Drosophila melanogaster: one gene and its partners. The protein of the gene in region 3 interacts with the protein of the main gene of each other region in a pairwise test. Each region holds a gene or a part of one and is shown on either strand. Other genes may lie near its edges.

The links. Proteins that work in one complex are often made in the same cells at the same time.
Region 1: the proteins of pcs (region 3) and Cpr50Ca interact in a two-hybrid assay, tested with the Drosophila melanogaster proteins (one large-scale study listed by BioGRID).
Region 2: the proteins of pcs (region 3) and CG31029 interact in a two-hybrid assay, tested with the Drosophila melanogaster proteins (one large-scale study listed by BioGRID).

The regions. Positions count from the first base shown.
Region 1 is NT_033778.4:13,768,030-13,772,914, reverse strand, and holds the start of Cpr50Ca (cuticular protein 50Ca), read right to left. Parts: upstream 3,001-4,885; 5' UTR 2,942-3,000; intron 2,150-2,941; 5' UTR 1,941-2,149; coding exon 1,899-1,940; intron 1-1,898.
Region 2 is NT_033777.3:30,128,779-30,134,345, forward strand, and holds CG31029 (uncharacterized protein), read right to left. Parts: upstream 3,618-5,567; 5' UTR 3,436-3,617; coding exon 3,002-3,435; intron 2,940-3,001; coding exon 1,680-2,939; intron 1,627-1,679; coding exon 603-1,626; 3' UTR 501-602; downstream 1-500. Other genes in the region: Ppi1 (protein phosphatase 1c interacting protein 1), read right to left, coding at 1-160; Tpi (triose phosphate isomerase), read right to left, coding at 4,464-4,670, 4,732-5,316, 5,501-5,567.
Region 3 is NT_033778.4:14,979,496-14,984,302, reverse strand, and holds the start of pcs (parcas), read right to left. Parts: upstream 3,041-4,807; 5' UTR 2,522-3,040; coding exon 2,480-2,521; intron 1-2,479. Other genes in the region: ckn (caskin), read right to left, coding at 4,618-4,807.

The sequences.
Region 1 (4,885 bases), 1.2 Mb from region 3:
GGGACACGCGCTAGATTCGTTTGAAAACTCAATGCAAAGAAGCGATAAAAATTGTTGCTATTTGCGTTCGTTTCAGTTTGCTCAGTCGGATTTTATGGCATTAGAAGTGCTGCGAAAACTAGTTAACAATTCCTTTACGATCCGCTAAGAGAGGCAAAAGGAGCGAAACTACTACTTCAACTTCTACTCCTACTTCTAATACTACTATCTGCATGGCGTTTTAAAAGTTTTCTTTTGTTTTGACATTATTTGGGAAATTGAAACTGTAATATTTGCAGCGAGAGCTGCGAGAGCTAAAGTTTGATTAAATTACGTTTTTACCATTTGGCTTTCGAGTTTTACAGCTGTTTACAAGTTGTATTTATTGTACTGGCAGTTTAAAAGTGCTGAACTGGCTTTTATTGTACTCGGTTTATTTTTTCAAGACAAATAACCAATAATAAAAGTCAGCATGGCATGGAGGTGATAAACTTGTAAAAGCAATTCAATTAGTTTTGATCATCTTCTGGCTTCTTAGTTACAAGGGAATCAACATCTCAGTGGGCAAACAGAAGGTGTTTTTTGTATCAGCATTCAATTAGTTTTAGAAAAATCATTTATTTTGTGGAAATTCGTTTTGGGTTAATATAAACTAAATCACTATCTTTTGTTTGATTTGATTAAGTTTTGGATTCGTGTATGTTTTTATTTATTTATAATTTTTTCTCTAAAGTTCCATGTCTTTAACCCAATCAATACAAACACATTCCCTCTGGACTTTATTGTTCTCGTTCGCTTTCTTTCATGTCGAGCAGGTTGCTTCATTAAATGGTTTCTGTAATTGCTGTTTGGCCACAAGTTTGTTTAATTGTTGGCTGCAATATGCGCTTACGGCATCGTCTCTTGTTGTATGCAACAAGCCGGAAAAACGTGCCACCCAGACGAGTGGTATGGTGTGGAGTGGAGTGGGCCAAGACCCAGGGCCAAGACTAAGTTCCAGACCAAGAGCAAGACCAAGACGGAGAGCGAGTCGAGACAGCAGAAGAAATGGTAGCAGGCAGGCAAAAGGCACAGCTTGGGCTAATTGTTAATGTGGCAGTGAGATGTGGGTGGTGCAACGTGGGTAGTTACCAACTGCAGTGGCCGTGGCAGTTAGAACCAGTTTGGTCTTTTTTGCCCTGGCCAAAAACCGGCGGCAAAGTCAAGTTCAATGCACATAAAAGACTTTACGGGTCTAGAAAGTGCTGGGGGTACGAGTGCTTCCTGGGCCACAAGGAAACTTGGCTGAAAAGAAATGCCAGCAATGGTCGCAAACTTTTTTTTTTTTTTTTCCATCCACTTAAATTGCAAATTTCCAGTTTCGATTGCAAATGCTGCTGGTGCATTTTCCTTTCGTCCCGGCAGTTGGATATGGATTCCAATGTCGATTCGGTTAGATAACCACAGCGGGCCTTCATAAAGACCGGGGTCATAAAATGGAGAGCGTTTTGGCCAAAAAGCACAAACAATCAATGCCAGTTGCATAACGAATTTTTGAGCAAAGATACTTTGGAATACGCTTTATGATTTTAATGCCTGGTAATTAAACGAAGTCTGGCCAGTATTCGCTGGTTTCCGGGCTAATTGAAGTTCAAGTGCAATGAAAATAAATTGCTTGCGAAATGTGCGTGCGCCAGGAAAATGAGAAGAAGCCCGCCATATGCAGTGACTGGCCGCGTCCATTTCCTGGCCAGAAAATGAAAATCGCTGCATCGAAGGCCGACACTTTTCCCAGGCCCACGCCCAGAAATTTCGCTCGAAGTCTCTCCACTGGCGCTTGTTGTTTTCACGCCTCGATGGCCCTTGCAGTTGTCGGTTATTTATATTAAAATTTCAGAATGATGAACCCGACCCGAAACGAACCGACCCCATGTACTTACCATTAAGGTGGGGATGCCACCGCCGCAGATAGCCATTTCCATTTTCCTTGGATGTCGGCGGAAGTTCGGGCAAATGAGGCGTCAAGTTGCACGTTGCACTTTTCGCGTTTCCACAAAAGTGGCAGCTCAATTTGTAATTGTTGTTGAAATTTCTGTTATTCTCCCACGCTGTTTTTCGCCGTCTTGGTATTTTAAATACAAATTGTAAATGAGTTTGTTCAGCGTTGAACCTTATTGTTTGTTTGTCGGACCTGGAAAAGTATTCGTTCAGTTTGGTTAACTATCACAGCAGCTAATTGCGAAAAGTGCTTTTCAAATTCTCATATTAACTGTTTTAAACATTTCCCCATAATTATGAAACATCATAATTAACAAATTAGTAAAACAAAAATCATTATATGGTACTTTAACAGATGACACATCTGCAAAGGCTGTGTTAAATGAGTACTTTTTAAAACTATGAAGGCAGAAAAATAGTATCCTGCGATTTCAAAAATTCCTGTTCTTAGAAAATCAAATGAATGACAAATGAATGAATTATGTTTAATGAGAATTATTTCTGATCTTATATTCTTTACCAAAATCTTTTTCATTAGTAACTAAGAGATTTTTGAGATAAAACAAGACCATAAAATCTAATTTAACAAATTTAACTATCTAACTAATCGTTTTCGTTATTCGTCCTTAGATGTTTCACTTATAAGTTTCACTTTTGTCATTCAGTAAAATATTCATTAATTTGCTCGACGTTTAACTTGATGCGTTTATATTTTTTTGATTTAATTTATTTTAAGGTATATTATATCCTTGTTAGCCAGCACTTTGGTTAAATGTAATGCAAGCTCTTTATATTTTTTTTTTTTTTACAAAATGATTTTCTCATATCCTTTGCGGAGAAAAGCAAACTTTGACTATATTCATTCAACTTTGTCTTTGAGCTTTGTTTAAACTTGCTCGTCGCAGTCCTCGTTCGTTTCTCATTTATTTAATGCGACTTTTAATTTGAGTTTTCGTTTCGTTTCGTTTCGCTTTGCCTTGTTTACTTTTGGCTGGAAAAACTGTGGAGGAAAACCGCACGCTTGCGCGCTGCTGTTGCAACTGTGCCTCGAATTTTCGCGCCACTTGAGTTTTGTGTGTGTTCGGGGCCGCGCAGTTTTCACGGAGACAGCCGGTTTGTTGTTGGCTCGCTTTTCGCTGCCTCGCTTTTCCCATTTTCCATTTCCATTCCTTTGCCTTTGCCGAAAAGACTCGGCCATGTCTGGCGTATTGCTGTTGCATTTTCCATATTTTTTCTCCTCCTTCTTTTTTTTTTGAATTTTATTTTTTTATGTGTGGGGCATAATAAGCTGCTGATTAAATTTGCAACGCTCAGAAGGAAGTCGAATTTGCAATTTATTCGGGGAAATTCATTTGCATTCCAAATCTGTGGGGATAAATGGAAATTAGACAGGTGCTACGATGCCAAAAATGATTTTACCTATATTAATTGTTACATTTTTTATAAATTCCAATGATTAAGAGTTTATTAAAGTTGTCTTTATATTTGATATATATATTCTTCAAACAGAGCATTTCTTTTTCGACTTTTGAAAATTGAAAACCTCACCACTCACTTGATATTTGTCTTTTAGCTGGCTGCATTTCGAGCTGCTTTTTTGGCCATGGCTTTGGCCAAGGCGTTAGCCAACTTTTGACCATCAACATTTGCACAATATGCGCTGTTGCTGTGCTGATGACAACGAAATGTACAAGTTTTCCTACCATCTGTGTGCATTTTTCTTTATTTTTTACGAGGGCTTAGAGTGCGTGCGTCTGGGGATAAAACTGAGCTCAGTGCCGTCATGGTTGTATAATTAATTTATTAATGGCAACAAGTGAAATGCACTGCCACGCATTTCCTATAAGGCTTGGCCCAGCCTGATTATGTGATTTATAGGAACTTATATATTTATAAGTTTGATATTGATATTTATATTTGATTTATAGAACTTATACCCCTTGGTTGGTGTGATGTGGTGACTGGTGGGTAAGAGAGTGCTAACCCCTGGGAAAGTTCAACTGCAGATATTATGCAACAGGCAACCGCGAGTCACGCACGCGCTGCCGCAAATGAAGTAGCTGACAAATTATCTTTATTTCATTTTATATTATTTTATTGCAGCCCATGGTGGGACTTTAAAGCGGCTTAGAGTGGCGAGGTCGGACTATCTGTTCGAGTGCATCGAAACCTGGGCCAGATGCTGAGCTGATTGGGGATTTTTGGCTATGATTGGTGGTTACCACGGGAAAGAGAGTGAGAGAGAGAGGGGGGGAGGCGGCTTTTGGCACTTTCACATTTGTTTTTGCTGGTGTTGAAATTGAGTTATTAGAGGAGAGCCATGTAAGCGACCAGGGGCGTATACTTAATATTTAAGCAAGGGGGGGGGGGGGGTAATATTCCCAGCTTACTAATGAATACATATAATTTTTATCAATTTTATAAAATCGTTTCTTTTTCATGACCAGAGCTTTCGACATCACTTTCTTTACCCCTTCCGCCGAGAGTCTTAATTCCACACCTCTGGGCACGTTCCTCGGGCAATGTGCCAACCTCCTACCGAAAGCCACATAATTGCTGTAATCGCGGTGGAGATTTGCAATCTCGTAATAAATTCAGACACCGAAGATGCGCCAGAAGTTGGAGGAGCCGCTCCCTCCGGCCGGAAACCCCCATGTGGCCACCAGATGCGTCGCCAGTTGCAGCTGCAATAGGCGGAAATCTCACACAGAAAGTTGCATTGCGGATGCAGTCATCGTCGTCGTTGTCGTCTCCCGGCTCCATCTCCATTTCCATTCCCATTTCGATCTCCTCCAGACTTCGGTTGCATTTGTGCGGAAGTTTAACCAACTAACAAAGTGACTTCGAGCTCGAATCGGGGGCAACAATTGTTGGCCAAATGTGTGGATCTGTTAACGCTTCCAGCCGCTCATCCCGGTCAACTGGTTGA
Region 2 (5,567 bases), on a different chromosome or scaffold from region 3:
TCTCCTGGTACGTGGAGCAGTGCATGTAGTCCGCTTTGCAGCTGCCCAATCGGGTGCTGACCAATCCGCGGTTCTTGTAGTAGGCATCCCAGTTCATTAGCTCTTCCACCGGCTTCTCCTTCTTCTCCACCGGCTCTGGCTTGCACTCGTACTTCTCCATCCTGGCCGGTTAGCAATCGATATAGGGTCGTCCACGAGTCTAAAATTTTTCTTGCACAAATAATTTTAAAAAAGCGCACGGGCTACGTCACGAGAATTCACATAAAAGTAAGCAATTTATAGATAACTTGAGCCTGAAGCGATCGACCTGAACTATCAATAGAGAATGAGCTGTGTTCAAGAATCGGACTGTAATGACCAGGTGAAGTAGAACTCACGGCATCCTGGGTTACATAGAACCACATTGGCATAGAATGACATACCAACACATTGTTTTAATAAATCTATGACTATGACTATGTTATTCAATTCATGCCAAAAGGGATAAAACCAATTCATTTATGTGGAATTCTTGGAATGCCGAAACCGTCATTTATTTAAAATGTAAAGGCTATGTATACTTGTGATTGCTAACATCAATGCATTTGGACTCCGCCACCATGTCAGTTAGACTTGTGCCAAGGTCTGTTTAGTGGGGTTGGATCGAACCTCCGGGGATCATCGTAGCCACCGACATTGCGGAAGGGAAGCTGCTTGCGTGGCTTCTTCTTGGGCGGATTTCGCAGGCGCGGCTTCGGTGGATCCGCGTGAACGTCGCCCTTTCCGTAGATCCATGGGAACATCTTCTTTCGCTCGCCCATCACGCATCCGCCGTATTGGACGAGCATGTTGGCCGGATGCGGGTACATGGTGGGAGCGGCCCAGTCGTGATCCACGTACTGGGTCTCCACGTGCGCTCTGTCCGGCTGTCGCACCCGTTCGGGCTTTATGACTCCCGCCGGAGGAGTAACCCCAAACTCGTACTCCCGATCGCTGTCATCATCGTCGCTGTTTGGGGAGTACACGAAGGTATCCGAGTTGTTTGGCCAACCACGCTGGCGACACTCGTTCTCCACCTCGTACTGAATTCGCTTCTTCTCAATGTGACTCCGGCAAAAGCAACTGGCCACCGGCCGGCGACAAGTGCAGGGGGCAAATCCCTTGTCCTGAAGATTCACTCTCATCTGGCGGAGTCCTGCTGCCATGGGATCCTTGGTAATACGAAAGACAACGGGCTTCATATCCGCATAAGGGTTGGCACTGGAGGCCAGGGCCTTGGGATCCTTTAATGGACGCAAGGTGATGATGTACTCATCTCCCTTCCGACTTATGTGCAGCGTTGGATGCTGCACTAGTGGCTCCTCCAGCTCCTCGACCCTGCGGCACTTTTTGTGTCGGTAGTGGTAACGCGAAAGGCAAATATTATCCGCAGGAAAGTCCTTTAGAAAGTAGGACATTAGTTGTCGGATGGGTCGAGAAATGGCTCCTGGGCGCCACGACTTGTGGCGCGCCATCTCGCTTTTGGTCCACATCCAACCCATGTGACAGGGAATCCTGCTGTAGCCCGTATGCTTGCTGCCCGAAATGCAGTCCAGATGCCCGATACGGGAGTCTTTGGATACCGTCTTCAGCTTCAAGAAGGTGTAGCTGCAAGATGAGAGTCTAATCTATCTGAACGCAATGTAGGTTTCATATCTCACCATCGGGACTTTTTGTGGTGGGTGCGCTCCTTCTTTATCCGCATTTTGGCTGGCTTGGGATAGGCCTTGTCAATCTCGTCCAGTGTCTTCTGCAGCGCCTTCCTGGCCTTCCTGCGGGCCTTGGCCGACTTGGTGTTACGGCAGGCTGCATCGCACTCCTTCCTCAGCTCCTCGGCCACCACGTCCGCCTCGTTGGCTCCCTTCTTCTTGCCGAACATATTCCGCATCTCCGTGAAGATGGAGATCAGTTGGGTACGACGAAGTGATTCGTCCGAGTTGGCTTGGTTCACCTTCTTGCTTTCCGGTTGTGATTTGCTTGGAGCTTGCGGATAAGCCTGTGGGAGTGGCTCAATCTTGCACTCATTTTCCTTAAAAAAGTTGTCGCAGAGCTTCCGGATGCGGCATCGAGTGCAGGGTTTCCCGCCCAAGCAGCCACATTGCTGCGGAACATTGGGATCATCCTTGTTCTTGTCGCCCATGGCTTCATCATCACCTTTGGACGGGTCCAGTTCACAGGTCTCCTTGCGCAGGCAGTCCCTTAGCAATTGCTGGGCAGTTGCCGTAAGATCGTAGGGCTGCTCGCTGGGCTGTATGTCCTCGAAGGTTTTGTAGCCACAGTAGGGACAGGCGGAGATCTTGGGCAGCCAACTGATGTCCGAACGGCAGAGCTGGCAGAGATTCGGTGGCTTGTAGGCCTCCTGTGTTAAAACAGGCTCTTTTACAGGACAGGTGCCCATGAGTCTTCGACGAGCAGCCCGCTCCATGGAGGCAGTCAAGGATATGGCCTTTCTCTTTCTAGGAGGCTTTTCCGCTGTGAACTCATTGGTGTCACAGGAGGAAGTATCTGTGCTGGAACTCGGCTGCTTGCACTTGCAATGCCAACGACGGGACTTTTCGTGTGTGTCTGGAGGACTGGGTACTTTTATCTCGTCTAGACCCAGTTCATCGACGAGCTTCTTCAGAGCGGCCTTTTCTCTCTTTTTCTCCGTGCCAACATCCGGAGGTAATTGCATTCCTTTCAGGAAACACCCACATCTGGCAAAGGCACCGCCTTTGTTATCCTGATCCTCCTGATTCTGACTTGCGGCGTGTGGACATTGGAAGGGTGCTCCCGCGTGCGACATCAGGCGCTCATCCGTGATGCAGCTGTTCGTTGCACACTTTCCGGAGCGTCCCAGGGTGAAGATAATATCCTTTTTGTTGATCGAATGATCCACAGGCTTGCACACGTCATAGCAGCCAAAGGGAATCAAGCCGTGGCTAGAGAGGATTGTGATTTAATAGGAATACTACATTTCCCCTATCTGGTTAACACCACTTACTTTATATCCGGTGAAGCGGAGCTGATCTTTAGGAGTAGCTCCACCTCACCCACTCGGTCGTTCTTAGGCCCTTTGGTCAGTTGAACTGTAACACTCTGGGTAACCGAAAAGCTGGGGTCTGTCAGCTGGCGCAGGATTGAAGATTCCAGCGTGGCGTTGCCCGATCCTATGAGCTCGTCGTTCTCTTTGAGAGTGACGCCTACGCCCTTGGATGTCAATGCTCCTATTAGCTCACAGGGACTGCTGGTAAAGCCACCCAATGCCTCTGTGGGAAACTGATCCACGAATATGCGTTCCATGGACAGCTCCTCAAAGTCCTCGAACAATCGAACCGAGTAGACGGGCCTCCCACCCGCACTGAAACTGGCGGACTTGCGGGGAATCGGCAAACTGGAGTTCACAAGGATAACGTCAAAGACATAGTACTGCGTCATGTTGATCTTCTAGGGAAACTATCGCTAAAACCAAGTTAAAATTTTCTTTACTCTCTAAAGATTTGGCTAAAAACTTATTTAATTTGTTCTGATATAAAACTCCAGTCTGAATAAAATCGATGTGTTCAGGATCAGAAATGACAATAAAAAGCTCAAAAACGGAGAACTAGAGCTTGTCAAATCGATAATGTATCTAAGGCCACTTGGGTTCAAGAATTCTCAGCCTGTTCATGTTTTGAGAAAAACTGAATAATATTTTGTTGATTTACTAACCATAAATTACTTACTAAGCTAAATAACTTATCAGCTACAAAGAAATTGCCTTGTTTAGCTCCATATTTGCCAAACTTTGTGCACAATCTTCGAACACTTCGATTAGAAATGAACTCTGAGTATAAGTATAAAGTATAATAAGTACAAACTGTTTTCCTTTCTTATCTCAAGTTAAGCTATCTTATGATGCATTGCTTCTTCTTGAAGGCTTTTATGCAAGATATTGTCAAAAACATGATGCAAATGATTTGATTCACTTGTTAGGTAAGTGAATACAATGATTGCCTCGATTACTCAGTTGGAACTCATATTCCAAATATTTGCCATTTCGCATGCTTATCAGAAATTAAGTAATAACTTGTTCGGTTTAAGGTCCGCAGAGGTGACACATATATGTACATATGTGCACACAACTTTGGACACCTTGTCGTTCAACCAATCGCTCTAAAAATAGCTGAAATAGTCTTGCAAAAAATAAGACACCTGTTTGGTTTGGTATATAAGTAAATGAGTAGCGCATAATTATTGCCTGAATAATTTAAGATTTACACAATGGACTACTATACGTTCAACAACAAGGATGTGAGTAGCATTCTCGCAAGGTAACTATGAATTTGGAACTGCACTTGGTGGTGACAACAACTAGGTGTGTGCGTAATGCATTCGCGCGCAGGAGTATGGAGTCCTGCCCTCCAGTGCCTCCTTCGCGGGCAGTTCGCTGGCCGAAAGCGATCTGATGCTTGAGATCGCGTTGCTTACTGCCGGGCGTTGATGATGTCCACGAACTCGGGCTTCAGGGAGGCGCCTCCGACCAGGAAGCCATCTATGTCGGGCTTCTTGGCCAGCTCCTTGGCGTTGGCGGCGGTCACGGATCCACCGTACTGGATGCGCAGGCTGGCGGACACCTCCTTGGAGATGTTGTCGCTCAGCCACTGGCGCAGGAAGGCGTGGACCTCTTGAGCCTGCAATTGGGAAGGGAAAATATCAGTTCTGGAAGAGATTAGCCTCTGCGGGCGACCTTACCTGATCGGGTGTGGCGGTCTGGCCGGTGCCAATGGCCCAGACGGGCTCGTAGGCCACCACCACGTTCTTCCAGTCCTTGATCTTCTGGGCGTAGGCGCACATTTGGCGGGCCACCACCTCGTTGGTCTTGCCGGCCTCGCGCTCCTCCAGGGTCTCACCAATGCAGGCGATGACCTTGAGGCCCTCGGCCAGGGCGTGCTCGGCCTTCTCGGCGATCAGGGCGTCCGATTCGCCGAAGATGGCGCGACGCTCCGAGTGTCCCAGGATCACCCAGTCGGCGCCGATGTCCTTCAGCATCGCAGGGGAGATCTCGCCGGTGAATGCGCCCTTGGCCACCTTGTAGGCATTCTGGCCGGCCAGACCCAGCTCGCAGGGCAGCAGGTTGCGGGCGTACATCAGGTAGATGGCCGGGCAGCCGATGACCACCTCCGTGTTGGGGTCGAGGGCGGCCGAGCTCAGGGTCTTGGCGATCTCGGCGATGGACTTCTGGTCGCCGTTCATCTTCCAGTTGCCTCCCACGCAGAACTTTCGGCTCATGTTGTTGCTGTTGCTGTCGGTGCAATCGGTGCTGAAATTGGCGTAGAACTGCGGATCGGGGGACAAAACAAGGGGACTGCTATTAGAGTGTTTGGAACTGATAATTTCAAGTGGGTAACTCGATGACTGGAGGCTCGCCGTCGACTTTTCCACTCAGATTTTTCCCAGATTCGAGATTAATCCCGGCACAGAGCACACACCCACCTCGAAGTTCGTCTGCTTATGTACTAACCTTCTTTTGACCTTCGTAAGTCTTCCACTGGCACTTGAAAAGCTTTGGGAAAACAGCTGTGAATTTG
Region 3 (4,807 bases):
AGAGAAAGTTGTAATTGTTTTGGAAGCGCAAACAAAATAAAAAGTAAACTCAATAATAAATAAATGAGAGCAAACTTATTCATCAAATATGAAGAGTGCTATGTAGTATTAAATGCAGTTTTTATCGGGACTGGTTATGAACTTTGTATTGTATGCACATAAATAATCTTGCGATATAAGCACAAGTTCGTATTCGCAATAAAAGATAAGCATAAAGAATATCATATACACTTTTGGGAGACACCTTTACGGTATATTTTTACATATATAGAGTAGACGTTGACTCACTTTTCGGACACGATTTTCTGATTCATAGACGCCTGGATCGAGTTCTCTAATTCGCGATACCCGTACTCTCACCTTGCTTACGTAACTGAGACCAGAGATAGCCGACTTCATTAGTCATTTATAATTTTTTATCAAATTCACCTGCACATAAAGTTTCCCTTGCTAATCTAATTATCAAATGGGGCAAGGCTACTAATTTATTTTTAAATTGCTACAAAGCTTTTCTCACTAATTTCTATCGTAAAAAAAGGCCCCTTTGTTTTTTTAATAAAGCAATTATCATCTAATCGATAAGTGACGCTTTGATGTGGATTGGTATGAGATTAGAAAGTTTGGGGCTCGAAAAACAAATCCGTAGCACGCAAATGACCATATTTTTAAGTTAACTGACGCGTGTGGAATTGTTTACAAAAAACATCTGTTAGGACACACGTTTTTGGTTAAATAGACTTTGCGACATCGACGCGGTGCCTATTCTTTGTCTATTGTTTGGCGTCATCAACTTGAAAACATCTCTTTAGATAAGAAATTTTGCACGCGCAAAATAAAAAAAAAAGAAGAACGCCAAATGCTCATTGATAAATCATTGGCAAATCGAAGGCAAAAAAACAACAAAGTCGACTTGTCGAAAGAGGAAGTCGAGCATAAAAACATTGAGAAAGAAGGCAAAAATAGGCGGAGCAAAATATTTCGCGTTTTTTTGTATAATGTAGCATGCGGTTTTTCGTAGAATTCTTAACCGGTTTCGGTACAGTTTTGTATTTGGTTTATAGAGCCGCACTAAAGATTGTTTATAGACAAAGTGAATATCTCCTACACATTTTCCCATACCTATACATATGTACTTTCGGACATTATCGACGAATCCAATCTAGTCACATGCCGTCTGTCTTCTGGGTTCGAAATCAAATTGTTGTTAATGACTTTGCGCCGCGTGTGGCGTCTCTCCCACTAAGTTTTGCATTTAAAAATAGGAATTATTGTAGGTCTACACCGGGATTTTCCTTTGTCTATGTAGGGGGTATTCTCACAATGGACGTACCATTCGATTGATCGCCCTGGATAAAGGTGTTTTTAACTTGAATAACCATTTTATACTTATATACTCATATACATAAATATATTCTCCTATTGATCACGGTTTGGAAACATTGTGTTTTTCACTATACTCATCCGATTTGAGTTTTTATTTTTACAGACTCGTATTATTTCCTGCCCATTTAAGGCTATTAGGCGAGTGTGCGACTATTTTGCGCAGTTGAATGAGCAGCATATGAATCTTGATTTATGCAAAAACTGCGACTTGCGCTTCAAGACACTTTTCAATTGTCTGGCTTACACAATAATATATAAAATACTCGAAATAGAAACAAAGGCGTGTTTGTTTTTTGTTGTTGCTGCTTTGGCTTGCGTGTGCGCTTTGGTATTTCCATTTATTAAATTTGTATGCATACCTCCTCCTCTCTCCCAAAAATGCGAAGAGATGAGCAAAGAAGAAGGGGCGAAAGATAAAGAGCAATAACCAAGTTGCACTTGAATCTCATTTAGGTACCGAGTTCAAATCCGTTGCGGGTAAAAAGAAAAAAAAAACCAGTTTACTTGGAAGTGCGTGGGATTATTTGACACCCTTTGTGATCCCTTTTTTCCTGCACTTTGTATTGTTTTCGGTTTTACAATGCATATTGAATAGTTCGTCGGAAAAGGAAACTTGCAATTTGCTTAAATGGCTCGTAAATTGATTTTCTGTGTTGGTTTTTGCTGTTGTATCGTTTTTGAAAACCAACAAAGCGTAAAAAAGGTTCACGCAATAAATGAGTAACGAAATGCAATGCAAAAACGCCTGTTTCCTATTTCCAAAATACAGTGCTCTATGTTTTTTGCTTGTAAGTTGTAAACATATTTTTGTATGAAAATCTAGGTGCACATTTATCACTTTGGTACAGTGGATACCCTCGGTCTTCACAATTCACCGAATCGGGTATGCACTGTACCAACAAAAACTGCACTGCAAAGAAGAGCAGGTGATAGAGAGAACTAGCAAGCAAACCAAAAACAAAGCAGCCTGAATATTGTTATTGTCATTAAAATACCGTTCCATTCAGTGCCAGGTACGAAAGAGAGAGGCATACAATGAGAGAGAGAGGGGGAGAAAATAGGAAGGACAGCAGGCAAATTGCCGAAGGAAAATCACCTGAATTTGGGGATCCAGCTCGCCGTCTTCTGCACTCGACATTTTTACTGGTTTTCACTGAATTCGTTCCAAATGCAAATATATCGCTAAACGCGTTAATTTTCACTTTTCTGCAGCCCGCTTTTCAATTGAAAAACGCTTTTGCATTTCACTATTTGATCTCGTTGCTACACAGACACATCCCACGACTATCAATTTGCTTGTGTGTTTTGTTTTTCTTTTTTTTTTCTGTGTTTTTTTCTATAATATTATGTAAATTGGTGTTGGCAATTTTAACTGGCAATTTGCTATGCGGGTACAGCAGCAGTATTAAAACAAATATTTCATTTTGCGTCTTATGTTTCACAACGAAGTTAAAAGCGAAAAGGGAAAGGGACACATGGCGATTACATTAAGTGTGAACAAGACGAACGGTACAAGTGGACAGGGCACGCGGCTTTTCACCTTCTCCTTCGCTCGGGGCATCTAAGATATTTAATTAACTCGCTTATAAAGGCTAAACTATCCTAAAAATTAAAGACGCGTCCAGACGCGACGAAATGAGAAGCTGAATTCGGTGTGACCGCAGCGCGGTGTTACCAGATAGTGAAATGCTGACCAGCAGTTGCTGAAATAAACATTTGGTATTTTTATTGTATTGGTATATTTCATTACAACGCTGGCATTGTTGCCAACTATTTTCAAGAAAAATAAACAATTAAAAAAATGTTTGATTTTCATTGCACCAGTTTGATAATGTAACAATTTATATTTAAAAAAATGCTAAGTTAACATATTAGTCTTCAAAATTACTCTTGGCGGGCTTGGTATTTTCTCTTACCATTACGTCATATGCCTCATCTACATAACCATCACATCACGTTACGTAGTTGATTCACTTCGTAACGTTATGAATAATTAAAAAAATTTTGTTTCAAAAAGGATTTTTGTTAAAGTTGCTAAATACGTATTAATGAAATATAAATAAATAGGTCTGACTAAGTAACAAAATATGCATTAAAACCAGAAACATTTTACTATGAAAGTTTACTTTATTTGTTATTTGTTTTCATCATTTTTGTTTTGCCCTTTATGTGCTTTACATGTTTGTGATTTTTTCGTATTTAATTTGTTTACTTTTCCTTATATGCGTTTATAAATCGAATACTCCAATTTCCTCTAATGATATGCGCACCAAACATATTTTTAACTGAGCGCAATTAACAGAAAACCGAAAATACTCTCAAAAAACAAAATTTTCACTAAAAGATTTTTATTTATGTAAATTATAAAGAAGAAGGCAATTCAGTTGTATACCACGGAATTTCATACGTTATTCAGCATCAATGCCCGATTAAACATAATTTATAAAGATGGATTCGTTTCCTTCTTTTATTTTTGATTTCTTAATTTAACGCTAATATAAGATTTATATTTTATATAATGCATCTTTTTACTTTGTATGGAATAACACTTAATTATACATTCATTTCATATAGTTTGATTTTAGTTGTAATCATAACAAAAAGAAACATTTCTGTGCAGCGTGATTTGAAAAAAATGAACAAAGAACTAAGGTACAAAATTCTAGAATAATACAATTTGAAATTGTCTGAATGGGATCTTTAAATAGTAGTTCTTGCCTGACTTTCATTGTGTTTGTTTAAGAGTGTGCCGTGTGGTTTATTTGTTGATTCCTCCTCTGTCGTATAGTATCAAACCACTAAATACTTGTCCATATAAATGATTTCGTTTAAATATTTATTTATATATCGAATTATATATATTTTATGCTATATAATAACTATGCAAGTTCTGCATATATGCATGTTGCGCTTCATTTACCATTCTTTTACTTGGTTATTTTCATTTTGTATTGTTAACACTCATAGTTTCGGGAATGGGAGGAGAGTTTAGGAAAAGTACAAAAGTATACATGGTTTGTCCAAAGCTTTTCAGTTGTAGTTGCTTTTTACTACACAGTGTGCATATCGAAATGATACAGAATACGATCCAATATAAATGCTTCTCCACACGCAATTGGAATAAGAAATACAAAAACAAATTGAACTTAACTAAGTTGAAGTACATAAAACATTACAAGATACACCACAACTTCTAAATTCAGCTACACTACGATTTGTTGTTTGATTGGAGATTTATTCACTGTCTATGTTTAGGCCCACTCGCTTCTCCTCCTCCAGCATGGCGTCCAGCTCGTCCGTGAGATTGGCCAGCATATTGCCAATGTCGTTCAGAACGTTCACCGAAACTTTGGGCGGAACGCCGTTGTTTATGGCCACAGTTGGTACGGCTGCTTCTGGCGAACTTGCAGGCTCCGCCGTTGAT